3 linked regions of the Macaca mulatta genome follow. The protein of the gene in region 3 binds, or shares a complex with, the protein of the main gene of each other region. Links are inferred from orthologs where the notes say so. Each region holds a gene or a part of one and is shown on either strand. Other genes may lie near its edges. The genes, in order: AHI1, TMEM107 and TMEM216.

Region 1 (3,649 bases), on a different chromosome or scaffold from region 3:
TCACGAGGTCCGGAGATCAAGACCATCCTGGCTAACATGGTGAAACACCATCTCTACTAAAAATACAAAAAATTAGCTGGGTGTGGTGCTGGGTGCCTGTAGTCCCAGCTACTTGGGAGGCTGAGGCAGGAGAATCGCTTTGAACGTGGGAGGTAGAGGTTGCAGTGAGCTGAGATCGCGCTACTGCACTCCAGCCTGGGTGACAGAGTGAGACTCTGTCTCAAAAAAAAGAATAATGTAGTATGTCTTAAAGTTGTAAAACATAAATCATTTTATTATCTGAAAGAATAAAGAAATTTATTATATCTATTAAATAGTCACTTTTTACATAATTTCAGAGACTAGGCATGTAGGCTGTCACTATAATTAATTGGCATGGGATCCAGATCAAAAGGATAATACTGCTGATTTACTCAGTTCAGCTGTAGGGATGTTAATAAATTTAGAACATATTCAGGAAAGAAAGGTATCTGAAAACTAACTCTGTCATAATAGCAGTAGTTCAGATTGTAAAAGAGACATAAAGACTTTCTTCAACTATTTGGCCGTAAGATACCCAAATGTGCAAAAAAAAAAAAAAAAAAGAAATTGGTCCATTTTACTCCAATGGGTAGAGGTGGGCCAAAGCTGTAGAAGGTAGATTTTCTTCGTTCAGAATTACAAAGAATATTTTAATACAGGAAGCAGTTCACCAATTGAATAGCTGTTTTGTAAAATACTGAATTCACAGTTGCTGAACAGCCATCTGTTAGTGGTGGTGGTTGAGATATTCCTGAGTGGGTATGAAGTTGAACTTTCTGAGGTCTGTCAACTTTAAGATGACTTGACTCCAAAGAATTGATGTTAAATTGGAATACCTGTTATTTATTATTTTATTCATTTCCTGATCATTTAATGAGTTTCTACTGGGTCTCAGGTATTATGCTAACACTATGTATTAGAATATAGGTATTTTTCTAGGACTCCAAAACAGATTTATAGGTTAATAAAGTAAGAAATAATGTTACATGTAGGATGGTTCAAATAATTTGGCTTTGGAATATGAGCCATATACACATGTACTGAGAGGCTCATTTCTTTTTGTAGTTAAATTCAGGTAAGTGACAAAGGGAAATAAGTCATCAAAAATAATTTAAAAGAGTAAAGAATTCATTTAAAGATAATTGGGGTTTGTTTGTGAGTTGCATTTTGATTTTTGACTTTTTTAAACTGAAATACCTTTTAATAGCCCTTCAATTCTTTGACTGTTTTACTGGGGTATGGTTTCCCCCAGTCTCCTATTATTTGTTTCTAACTCTGGGACATTCATAAGTGAGTAATCTTGTTTTTTAAATAGGTCATCATATGTATTCAGGAGACTGTACAGGGGTGATTGTTGTTTGGAATACCTATGTCAAGGTTAATGATTTGGAACATTCAGTGCGCCACTGGACTATAAATAAGGTATAAAATCATATTTTATATTATGAGATTTAATTAAAGAAGTTGGAAAACTCCAGTCACATGACTTTAAGATAGAATGTCAGGACATTCTGTTCTCTCATTTCAAAAAATTAACACCTTTCCTTTTTTTTTTTTTTTTTTTTTTTTTTTTTTTGAGACGGAGTCTTGCACTGTCACCCAGGCTGGAGTGCAGTGGCCGGATCTCAGCTCACTGCAAGCTCCTCCTCTCGGGTTCACGCCATTCACGCCATTCTCCTGCCTCAGCCTCCCGAGTAGCTGGGACTACAGGCACCCGCCACTTCGCCTGGCTAGTTTTTTGTATTTTTTAGTAGAGACGGGGTTTCACCGTGTTAGCCAGGATGGTCTCGATCTCCTGACCTCATGATCTGCCCGTCTCGGCCTCCCAAAGTGCTGGGATTACAGGCTTGAGCCACCGCGCCCGGCCAACACTTTTTCTTAGTCAATTATCTATAATTAATTAGCACACCCTCCTGGTGGTTGATTGATGATCTAATGACTTAGTGAAGATTTTTAAAATTTCGGCCAGATGTTAGTTTCACTTTTTTATATCCCATTTGCACTGTGGCATTCAGTAATCCATTGGGTGACATTTATGCTAAAATGAGATGTATGTTATATTACCATCGATAAGTAATAATTTATATTTTCTGTTATATCCTTTTTCCTTGGTCCAATAGCATCTCTAAAAACAGTGTTCTTAGTACTTTGTCAACACTGGTGTCTTTCAGAGTTATGTAATTATTATGAAAGTCTGTCATTTAATCAATAATTATTTCATTTGAAATTTGCTAAATGGAAACAAATGAATAAGTTCTTTCATTGGGGGCTGGAGTGTTTTTAAGACAGCTTGTAAAGCAGTTTTGTTAGTGTACATTTTTTACTTTTTATTTAAAAACACAAATGAATCATTAAACTTGAATTTGTTTTATATAAATTGATCCAGTTTCTGCCTAACATATTATACCTTTTTCTTCCATTTTTCTTAATAATGACAGTAGTTGAAAAAAGACACGCTAAGTGAAAAATAATTTTCATGAATTTTAGTTAAATCCATTGAGTCTGTCAGATCTGTTGAAAAAGCATTTCATCTGTTGTTAGAAATTCTTATATAAATAAGAATAGAAACTTGAAAATTAATAATACATGTGGTTTTGAATTTATAAAAATTGGAAGCTTCTTACATGATTTTAAACAAAAAATTTAATGTTACAAGATGTGTTTGTTGGAAGTGCTTCTTGTTTGGGATTGACTAAATTTTGGGAAAGTGAACATACTACAAAAACACATAATAATTAAATGTGCATTTACACATTGCATAACAACACAAAAATACAGTTCATCAGCTTTATTTTCAACCCTAAACTGAAGTTACTCAGAATCCTTTTGCTAACAATTATAAAGCATCCTATACTGCAGAATTGGAAAAGATATTTTAAGATTAATTTTGTACCCCCAAAAACGTTTAACATTAGATTAACTTTTCATTAGTAGTATTTTTTTTTTTATCATTTTAGGAAATTAAAGAAACTGAGTTTAAGGGAATTCCAGTAAGTTATTTGGAGGTTCATCCCAATGGAAAACGTTTGTTAATTCATACCAAAGACAGTACTTTGAGAATTATGGATCTCCGGATGTAAGTATATTTCAGTATTGACAGGATAAGTACTCACAGAATAAGTAATGAATTAAATTATATTTATAAAATTCGGTAGTGGTTCTCAACTAGGCAGTGTCCCCACACTCACCAAGGAATGTGTGGCAGTATGTGGAGATTTTTTTTTTTATGTTACTTCTAGTATCTAATGAGTAGAGATCAAAAATATTGCTAAGCATCCTACAGCCCATAGGACAGTCTCCCTAAAACAATTATCCAGCCCAAAATGTGAATAGTTCTGAGGCTGAAATGTAGTTAGTTGCTTTTATTTTCACAATTAAAAAAAAAGAAACTTCTACCTTCAACAATGATATTGATTGATACTGATATTATCACTATGATACTGTTACAGCATTAGTATAATATGATATAACAACAAGGCAGGGCTTGTGATTTATACATCCTTGTTTTTTTCCTTTATTTCCAAATAATGGTGAACATAGGGAAATCTTCTTCCTGTAAAAGGTAGAAGCAGCGTTCTGGGAAAATCAGCATGGACTTCTAGTGCATTTTTGTTTGGTGTTAGAGATG
Region 2 (3,749 bases), on a different chromosome or scaffold from region 3:
CGTTCGGCTGCCGAAAAGGAATAAATTTCTTTTTCCCAGAATGCTCCGATCATTTACGTGCTGGACGTTCTAACTGTAAGCACTTTCTATTTACATATCTCCGCCCACTCCCTTCCGCCAGACAACTACCGTAATAACCAAAATAGAAGCGATACCAAGTATCTTACGGTCTGCAGAACTAGAAAATAACGTTGCTTCTTTTTTTTTCTTCAGTAGTTTCGCCATTTCAATTGTGCCCTGAAAACTGTATATGTCTTAATCTTACTACAAAACATATTTTATTACAAACCACTAAATACAATGCGGATAATCCCAGACTCAAGACGTAATTATTCCAACACATATCCTCCAGCAGAAGCAGTTTCCGAGGGGAGGACCGAAGCCTATGCCTTCCTTCTTCCAGGAATACGAAGCGGCCCTTGCCCCTGTAGCCTTCGTCCTTAGGTTCCCGTCATGAAGGTGCTCAGAAAGGCTTCTTTTTCAGCCCAAAGACGGTGACGAATAAAGTCATTTCAGTGACAGCTGGAAGGGCACTACCGAGGCAAGTGGTAGATTCAGAAACCCGTTCAATATAAATACCCAAATCTCCAAACCAGAGACCCCACCCCTGAAAGTGTAGGACAGGTGGCATGGGGTAGGGAATGAAAATTCAAAAGACTACAGGATGTTAAGTGGATCTGGTATCTCCCACATAGAGGAAAGGGCTGGGTAGGGGAAAAACCCTCAGGTTTAGGGTCAGCCTTCCTCCCTCATTCCCGAATATTGGATGCTACCACACCTGCAGAAGACAAAAATGTACCAATACGTAGTGCACTCCCAACGCTCGAATATGAAGAAGGACAGGGCCACGGATGCACTACAGTGAGCCCCAATGGCTTGAGAAGGCACCACAGTTAAGGAAAGTCTTTGGATCGACAGATAGTGAGGGGTCAGAAAAGGCCAAAGGCCAGTGGTGGGGTTGGCATCTGCATTCAGGTTCATCGTTTGCTCCCTCACCATATTGCAAGGGCTAGAGTCAGCATCCCCGACTTCTGAATTTTAGGACAGTCATGTGAGGAGAGACCAGAAGTGACTGCGCAGATGGGATCTCAGGCTACCCTACTCCATATCTAGGGGCCAGCCTGGATCCTTCAGATGAGAGGTAAGAGTAGGCTCTCCTGCTATGCCACACAGGAGTGCTGACAGCGACTTGATATGCGCTGGAATCAGCCTCCAGTGTCCTGGTCCTCCTGGTCCACAATTCTCTGACCCATGTGCCTGGCTTCCGTTGCCTCTTCTGAGTTCCCAATGTGCTTTATATCTTTCGTTTTTTGCCAGAGTCTTGCTCTGTCGCCCAGGCTGGAGTGCAGTGGCACGATCTCGGCTCACTGCAACCTCTGCCTCCTGGGTTCAAGCAATTCTCCTTCCTCAGCCTCCTGAGTAGCTGGGATTACAGGAGTGCACCGCCACGCCCGACTAATTTCTGTATTTTTAGTACAGACAGGGTTTCACTATGTTGGTCAGGCTGGTCTTGAACTCCTGACCTCAGGTGATCCACCTGCCTCGGTCTCCCAAAGTGCTGGCATTACAGGCGTGAGCCATCGCACCCTGCCTGTGCTATCTTTACACACTCCCATAGCACACTGCTTATCACACTGAATTACAGATGTGTATCTACCTCCTCATGGTTAAAAAAAAAAAAAGTGGAGTTTTTATTATTACTATTTATTTTGTAGACACGGGGTCTAACTATGTTGCCTCCTGCGCGGGCCTCCCACAGTGCTGGGATTACAGACGTGAGCCAACGTGCCTGGCCAAAAACTGTATTTTACTCTCATTTCGGAATTTTAAGTGCCTAGTAAACAGCAGGATTTAGCACATGGTTGAAGATCTTTGAACTGGAGAGACTGGCTACAGCAGACACTATTGTGTCAGGTGGCTGAAGGGAGTCCTGATAGAAATGGGTCGTGTGGGAAAGGTGGGCAGGCAGAAAGGATACAGATGAGGCTCTGGGTGCTGTTGAACATGGAGACTCCTGAGAGGAAACCGGCCAGCTCCACTGCAAAGAGGCCCAGGGTGACAGAAAGCGCGGCCACCAGCCTGCAGAGAGGAAGTGGACTGGCCCAGGCCTTTGGACTTCTTCTAAGACCCCTCCACTCCCACCACCTCTTCGTTCTGGCCACCCCGTCCCAAGAGCTCACTGAATGTCCTGCTTGTCATACTCCTCGGGGGTGAACCTGAGAGGCAGGCAGGCCTGAATGTTGCTGTCCTGGGAGCAGGGCAGAGAGGAAGAGAAGTGAAAAAGGGGCAGGCTGCTGGGCAGGCCTAGGGACGGCGGAACACGAGAAAACCCAAGTGGGTAAGACACTGGGAGAGGGGCAGGGTGGGGCGGGGACGACTCCGAGATGGGAATGGGGGCGGACGGAGGGCAGCCGTGGGTCTTACCCGGGACCAGAATAAAGTGATGACGACCACCAGATGCGCCAGGAGCGTCAGGAAGCGAGAGGGCACAAGCCCTGAGACCCGGCCCATGGCCCTTGGGAACAAGAGCGGCGGTCTCTGAGGCTGGAAGTTCAGAGACTGCGACTCCCGCAAGTCCACCAGCAAGCGGACAAATCTAGACGAACTCCTCCTTTCCGCCAGCTCAGGCACCGCCCAGTTGCCTTGGTAACCGCGTACGCGGGCGTGCTGCCGCGTTCTCGGAAAACCTCGCGAGAGCAGTACATTCTCCATCTGCTGTGGGTCTTTCAGGGCTAACTCAGGTCAGGGGTACCCGAAGGAGCTTCTAACCCAATGGCTGGGTACCCGTGCGCAGCCAGGCCCTTTGTTTCTCAGAGGGTGAGGGGTGGCACAGCCCCGCAGCGCCCGATCTGCCCACGCAGGGCCGACGAACGGAAACCCACCCTGGCCTAGCCTGGGGACACCTCTGCTTCCGCGGTTGCCCACGCCGGGAGCGGCCCCCAGCCCCAGCTACGCTGCCCAGTTGTGGATCACTTGAGATCACTCCCACCGCCACGCCGGGCTGAGGTCCCCGCCATGCCGAAGACTCACACCCGCTCCCCTTCCTCCTCTCCTCATGCCTTTAACTTCCCACCAAGCTGGGCCTGAGAAACAAGGGACCCGAACGTGGAGAGGCCGGTGTTCCTGGACTGCTCGGCAGTTACAGATTGTCACAGAGCCCCTGGTTGTCTGAGGACCCTAGGCCTGAACCTTCCTTGAGGAAGACTGATTTCTCTCAGACTACTTTGCTCAGTTTGGTGAAGGATTTGCAGAGTGCAAAAAGTGGTCAGCGTCCTTAAACTAGCGTGGGAATAAGAGCAAAGCAAGGTGGCTGGAAAGGTGGGAGTGGACGAAGGGAATGGTACAGTCCCTGCGTCTCTGGGAGGCTTGGAGCCTACGGGAAGGGAAACTCAACTTAGATTTCTTTATCTCTTGGAGGTGCTGGACCTCCGACATTGCCCAGCTACAGTCCAGGAAGCTCTTATCACCGGCGACGTCATGACCTTTGGGCCTCAGCGCAGGTCCCTGCAGATCTGAAAGTTCTTCTCTAATTGCTCAGTCAAGTCCCATCCTCAAGGAAACTCCCGGCCCATTTCCCAGGAGAACAATATCTTCCTACTTCCCACTCGACGTCTCAGTGCCTTTAGCCAGACTAAAGTACAAGCCCAAGAGGCATTTCTCATTCCTTCAACAAATATTTTTATATATTTATTTATTACCTAGTAATAGTATTCTAGTCAGGGAGATCAACAACAGACATGCAAACAAAT
Region 3 (3,749 bases):
GCGACAGAGCAAGACTCCGTCTCAAAAAAAAAAAAAAAAAACCATTTATTTCAGGGATGACATATTCTAACAAATAAGGGTTTTGCTCTGTATTTCTGGGATTATAAAACTTGTCCTACAGGGCAAGCATGTTGGCTCACGCCTGTAATCCCAGCACCTTGGGGAGGCCAAGGCGGGAGGATTGCTTGAGGCCAGGAGTTTCAGACCAGCCTGGGCAATGAGGCAAGACACTGTCTCTACAAAAAACACAAAATGAGCCAGGCATGATGTTGCATGCCTGTGGTCCCAGCTACTCAGGAGGCTGAAGTTGGAGGACTGCTTGAGCCCAGGGCTTCAAGGCTGCTGTGCGTTATGATCGTACCACTGTACTCCAGCCTAGGTGACAGAATGAGATCCTGTCTCAAATAAGTAAATGTTTAAAAAACAAAATCCGGTCAGGTGTGATGGCTCACACCTATAATCCCAGCACTTTGGGAGGCCAAGACAGGTAGATCATGAGGTCAGGAGATCGAGACTATCATAGCCAACATGGTGAAACTCCATCTCTACTAAAAATACAAAAACTTGCCAGGCATGGTGGTGGGCGCCTGCAGTCCCAGCTACTCAAGAGTCTGAGACAGGAGAATCGCTTGAACCCGGGAGGCGGAGGTTGCAGTGAGCCGAGATCGTGCCACTGCACTCCAGCCTGGCAGACACAGTGAGACTCTGTCTCCAAAAAAAAAACAAAAATCCGGCCAGGTGCAGTGGTAATCCCACCACTTTGGGAGGCTAAGGCAGGCGGATGACAAGGTCAAGGGATGGAGACCATCCTGGCCAATATGGTGAAACCCCGTCTCTACTAAAAATACAAAAATTAGCTGGGAGCAGTGGTGAACGCCTGTAGTCCCACCTACTCGGCAGGCTGAGGCAGAAGAATCGCTTGATCCCGGGAGGCAGAGGCTGCAGTGATCCGAGATCGTGCCACTGCACTCCAGCCTGGCGATAGAGAGAGACTCCATCTCAAAAAAAAAAAAAAAATCCTACAGAGATCCTTATTCAGAGTATTGTTAGGGATCTTAGTACTGATCTGTGCAGGATATGCTGCCTGCCCTGACATGGAGCTACAACTGAACCTGCTCCCCCAAGAATACTAGTGAGAAGAACCAGGCACTCCTTTTGCTGTTAGGCAGCTGGGAAGGAATCATCTAATATCACATTCTATTGCCCATCTCTAGCCTTACAGAGCAACAAACAGGTAAATCCTGACCCCAATGTATGAAGCAGCAACTTGAAACTTCAGAGAGGGAGTAATGGGATATACAGATCCAGTCTCTGATAGTCAACCTAGGTGATGTACTTTTCTTGTTAATCAAGTTAGAGATACCAGCTTGTCTCATAAAGAGTGGAAATATTCTCTGGACAACACTCACCAAAAAACAGGCGAATTACTTCAATTCCAAGATAAAGGAGGAGCATCACCACATCCAGTACTAGGTTAGCTGTTGGATATGGTAGCAGAACACCTGCGAATACAAAAGCCAGTGTTTGCAAATAGCATAAAACAGCATCCACAAGAACTGCCACACACTTGAGACATCAGTCTCAAGGACATCAGTCTCAGCTTTCCATGAGCTAGTGAAATGTGGGCATTATTACAGCTGCAGGATACATAAACTCACAGTGCAACCCAGGCTCATTATTATGCCATTTTACTCCTAACTCCAAAAGACTCTGGGGACTCCTCTCTCCAGAATGAGTGGATGCACATGGGTACACGGGCCACTGAATAGTTTCTAAGGGTCATCAATGGGCTTACAGTGGAGCTCAGCAAAGACCAGTGATGTGGGCAGAGTCAGAATGGAGAAGCCCACATTTCCCAAACTCAAGAAATTCTTGCTGAGGGGATGCCATACTCATACTCAAAGAAGCCATCTGATGAGGAGGCCTGCCTTGCAGCGACAAAGAACCGCAGGGGGCAGAAAAGAGCGGAAAATAAGAAGGTTCTTGGTCGGAGTTGGCTCTGAGCTGAAGTGGGGAAGGGGTGCTGTCGTCAAGCCCCATGCCTTCCTTACCTTTATACAGAAATATGAAAAGTTCCAGCAAGAAATAGGTAGCATTATACCACGCGTTCAGAAAGAACAGGATTTCCAGCGGGGTGGAGGACAACCGTTTACCTGAAACAGCAGCACAGAAAAGTGGGATGGGCAGGAAGGCAGCTCCCTCTCTGCTCCTATGGGTTGGTGTCTAACTGGGGAAACCAGACGCCGCAACTAATGGGACCGGCCACCCAGGGGCACTTCTGGTTGCTGATAATGAGGGTACGGGGTGGATGTGGAGGAGGCTTCACTCGTTTCCCAGGAATCACCGCGAAACTCGACTCTTCGGCTTCAGGAGTAAAAGTTAAGAGGTAACTCGCAGCTGACAGACATCTCAAAGATCTCACCCTGTCACTATTTGGGAGGGGAAGTTGGGGCGTGGAGACCAACAGATTCGTACCTGAGCCATCCTAGAAGTGGCCCAGCCAAGGATCTGCGGCTATTTGACCCACGCACCTTGAAACCTTCAGGGACCCAGGGTGGGCGGGTCCGCGGAAGCCCGCTTTGGACCAGGGAGGCGCGATGTCCCTAACGCTACAGAATGGAGGGTTTAGGTCAAGCTCTGGGACAGAGGTGCGAGGGAGGGATCAAAGGGAAAGGGACCAGCGACTCACACACCTCCGGAATCTCACCTCGCGGCGCCATCTTCAGTCCCCGTGGAAACTGCGTACGCTGCCACAGCTGCTCCCGGAGCAGCGCGCCGCTGCCGGAAACAGGGACTGAGCGGCCGGGGTTTCCGGCCCCTCTGCCCGCCCGCGGCACTCTGTGGTCACCCGGAGCGGGACGAGCTCGGGCCAGGCCGCAAGTGGCCCTCGCTCGGATGTCCCCTCTCCAGACCTAAGGGAAAACAGTGACCGCCCACGACGCCGTCGTCTGCAGGAGCTCGGGGTTGTGGGGTAGGACCCTGGAGGCCCTTGGGCTACCGGGCGTTGGGCGGAAGTGGCCAGTTGTGACAATGTTACCAGGAGACTGGCAAATAGGTCCTACTCCCACGATTCCCATTTTTCGACGGAAGACGAGAAACGGTGTGAGCGACGGATCTCTGCAAATGCGGGATGGGAGTTAGCATTGGTCTTTTCTGCGGCCTATTTACCTACCAGGTAGAGACACTAGGGAAATAGAGCGTCCTTTCCAGGAGCACACGTAAATAAACTGAAACGAGTCACCACGCGATCCCTAAAGTGGTGCAGTGGGAGCTGAGAGGACAAAGTGCTCCCAGGTGGAAATCTAAGTCAGTTTCCAAGAGACGGGCTTCAAAATGTGAGCTGGGCTTCAAAGCCTGCCTGATTCGGGTTTGCAGCGGTAAGAGCGTGTTGCTGGCCGGGCTTAGTGGCTCACGCCTGTAATCCCAGCACTTTGGGAGGCCGATGCGATGGATCACCTGAGGTCAGGAGTTCGAAACCAGCCTGGCCAACATGGCGAAACCCCGTCTCTACTAAAAATACAAAAATTAGCCAGACGTAGCGGCGCGCGCCAGTAGTTCCAGCTACTTGGGAGGCTGAGGTAGGAGAATCGCTCGAACCCAGGAGGCGGAGGTTGCAGTGAGCCGAGATTGCGCCACCACACTCCAGCCTGGGCGACAGTGAGACTCTGTCTCAAAACAAACAAAAAAACAAACAAAAACGTGTTGCTGCAGGCGGGGAAGTGCAAAAAGAAGGGTTTTGAGAGGACTCA

The links.
Region 1: TMEM216 (region 3) and AHI1 share a complex: the UniProt entries of both Homo sapiens proteins name them as parts of the tectonic-like complex. The link is inferred for Macaca mulatta from reciprocal best matches to the Homo sapiens genes TMEM216 and AHI1.
Region 2: TMEM216 (region 3) and TMEM107 share a complex: the UniProt entries of both Homo sapiens proteins name them as parts of the tectonic-like complex. The link is inferred for Macaca mulatta from reciprocal best matches to the Homo sapiens genes TMEM216 and TMEM107.

What each region holds. Positions count from the first base shown.
Region 1 is NC_133409.1:40,532,297-40,535,945, reverse strand, and holds part of AHI1 (jouberin), read left to right. Parts: intron 1-1,336; coding exon 1,337-1,443; intron 1,444-2,978; coding exon 2,979-3,097; intron 3,098-3,649. UniProt on the Homo sapiens protein: Involved in vesicle trafficking and required for ciliogenesis, formation of primary non-motile cilium, and recruitment of RAB8A to the basal body of primary cilium.
Region 2 is NC_133421.1:9,692,584-9,696,332, forward strand, and holds TMEM107 (transmembrane protein 107), read right to left. Parts: upstream 2,604-3,749; 5' UTR 2,512-2,603; coding exon 2,425-2,511; intron 2,249-2,424; coding exon 2,181-2,248; intron 2,098-2,180; coding exon of another isoform or gene 2,080-2,097; coding exon 1,979-2,079; intron 1,142-1,978; exon of another isoform or gene 1,043-1,141; intron 876-1,042; coding exon 779-875; intron 534-778; coding exon 464-533; 3' UTR 209-463; downstream 1-208. UniProt on the Homo sapiens protein: Plays a role in cilia formation and embryonic patterning. Requires for normal Sonic hedgehog (Shh) signaling in the neural tube and acts in combination with GLI2 and GLI3 to pattern ventral and intermediate neuronal cell types.
Region 3 is NC_133419.1:12,654,326-12,658,074, forward strand, and holds the start of TMEM216 (transmembrane protein 216), read right to left. Parts: upstream 2,741-3,749; 5' UTR 2,721-2,740; coding exon 2,708-2,720; exon of another isoform or gene 2,694-2,707; intron 2,154-2,693; coding exon 2,052-2,153; intron 1,503-2,051; coding exon 1,410-1,502; intron 1-1,409. UniProt on the Homo sapiens protein: Part of the tectonic-like complex which is required for tissue-specific ciliogenesis and may regulate ciliary membrane composition.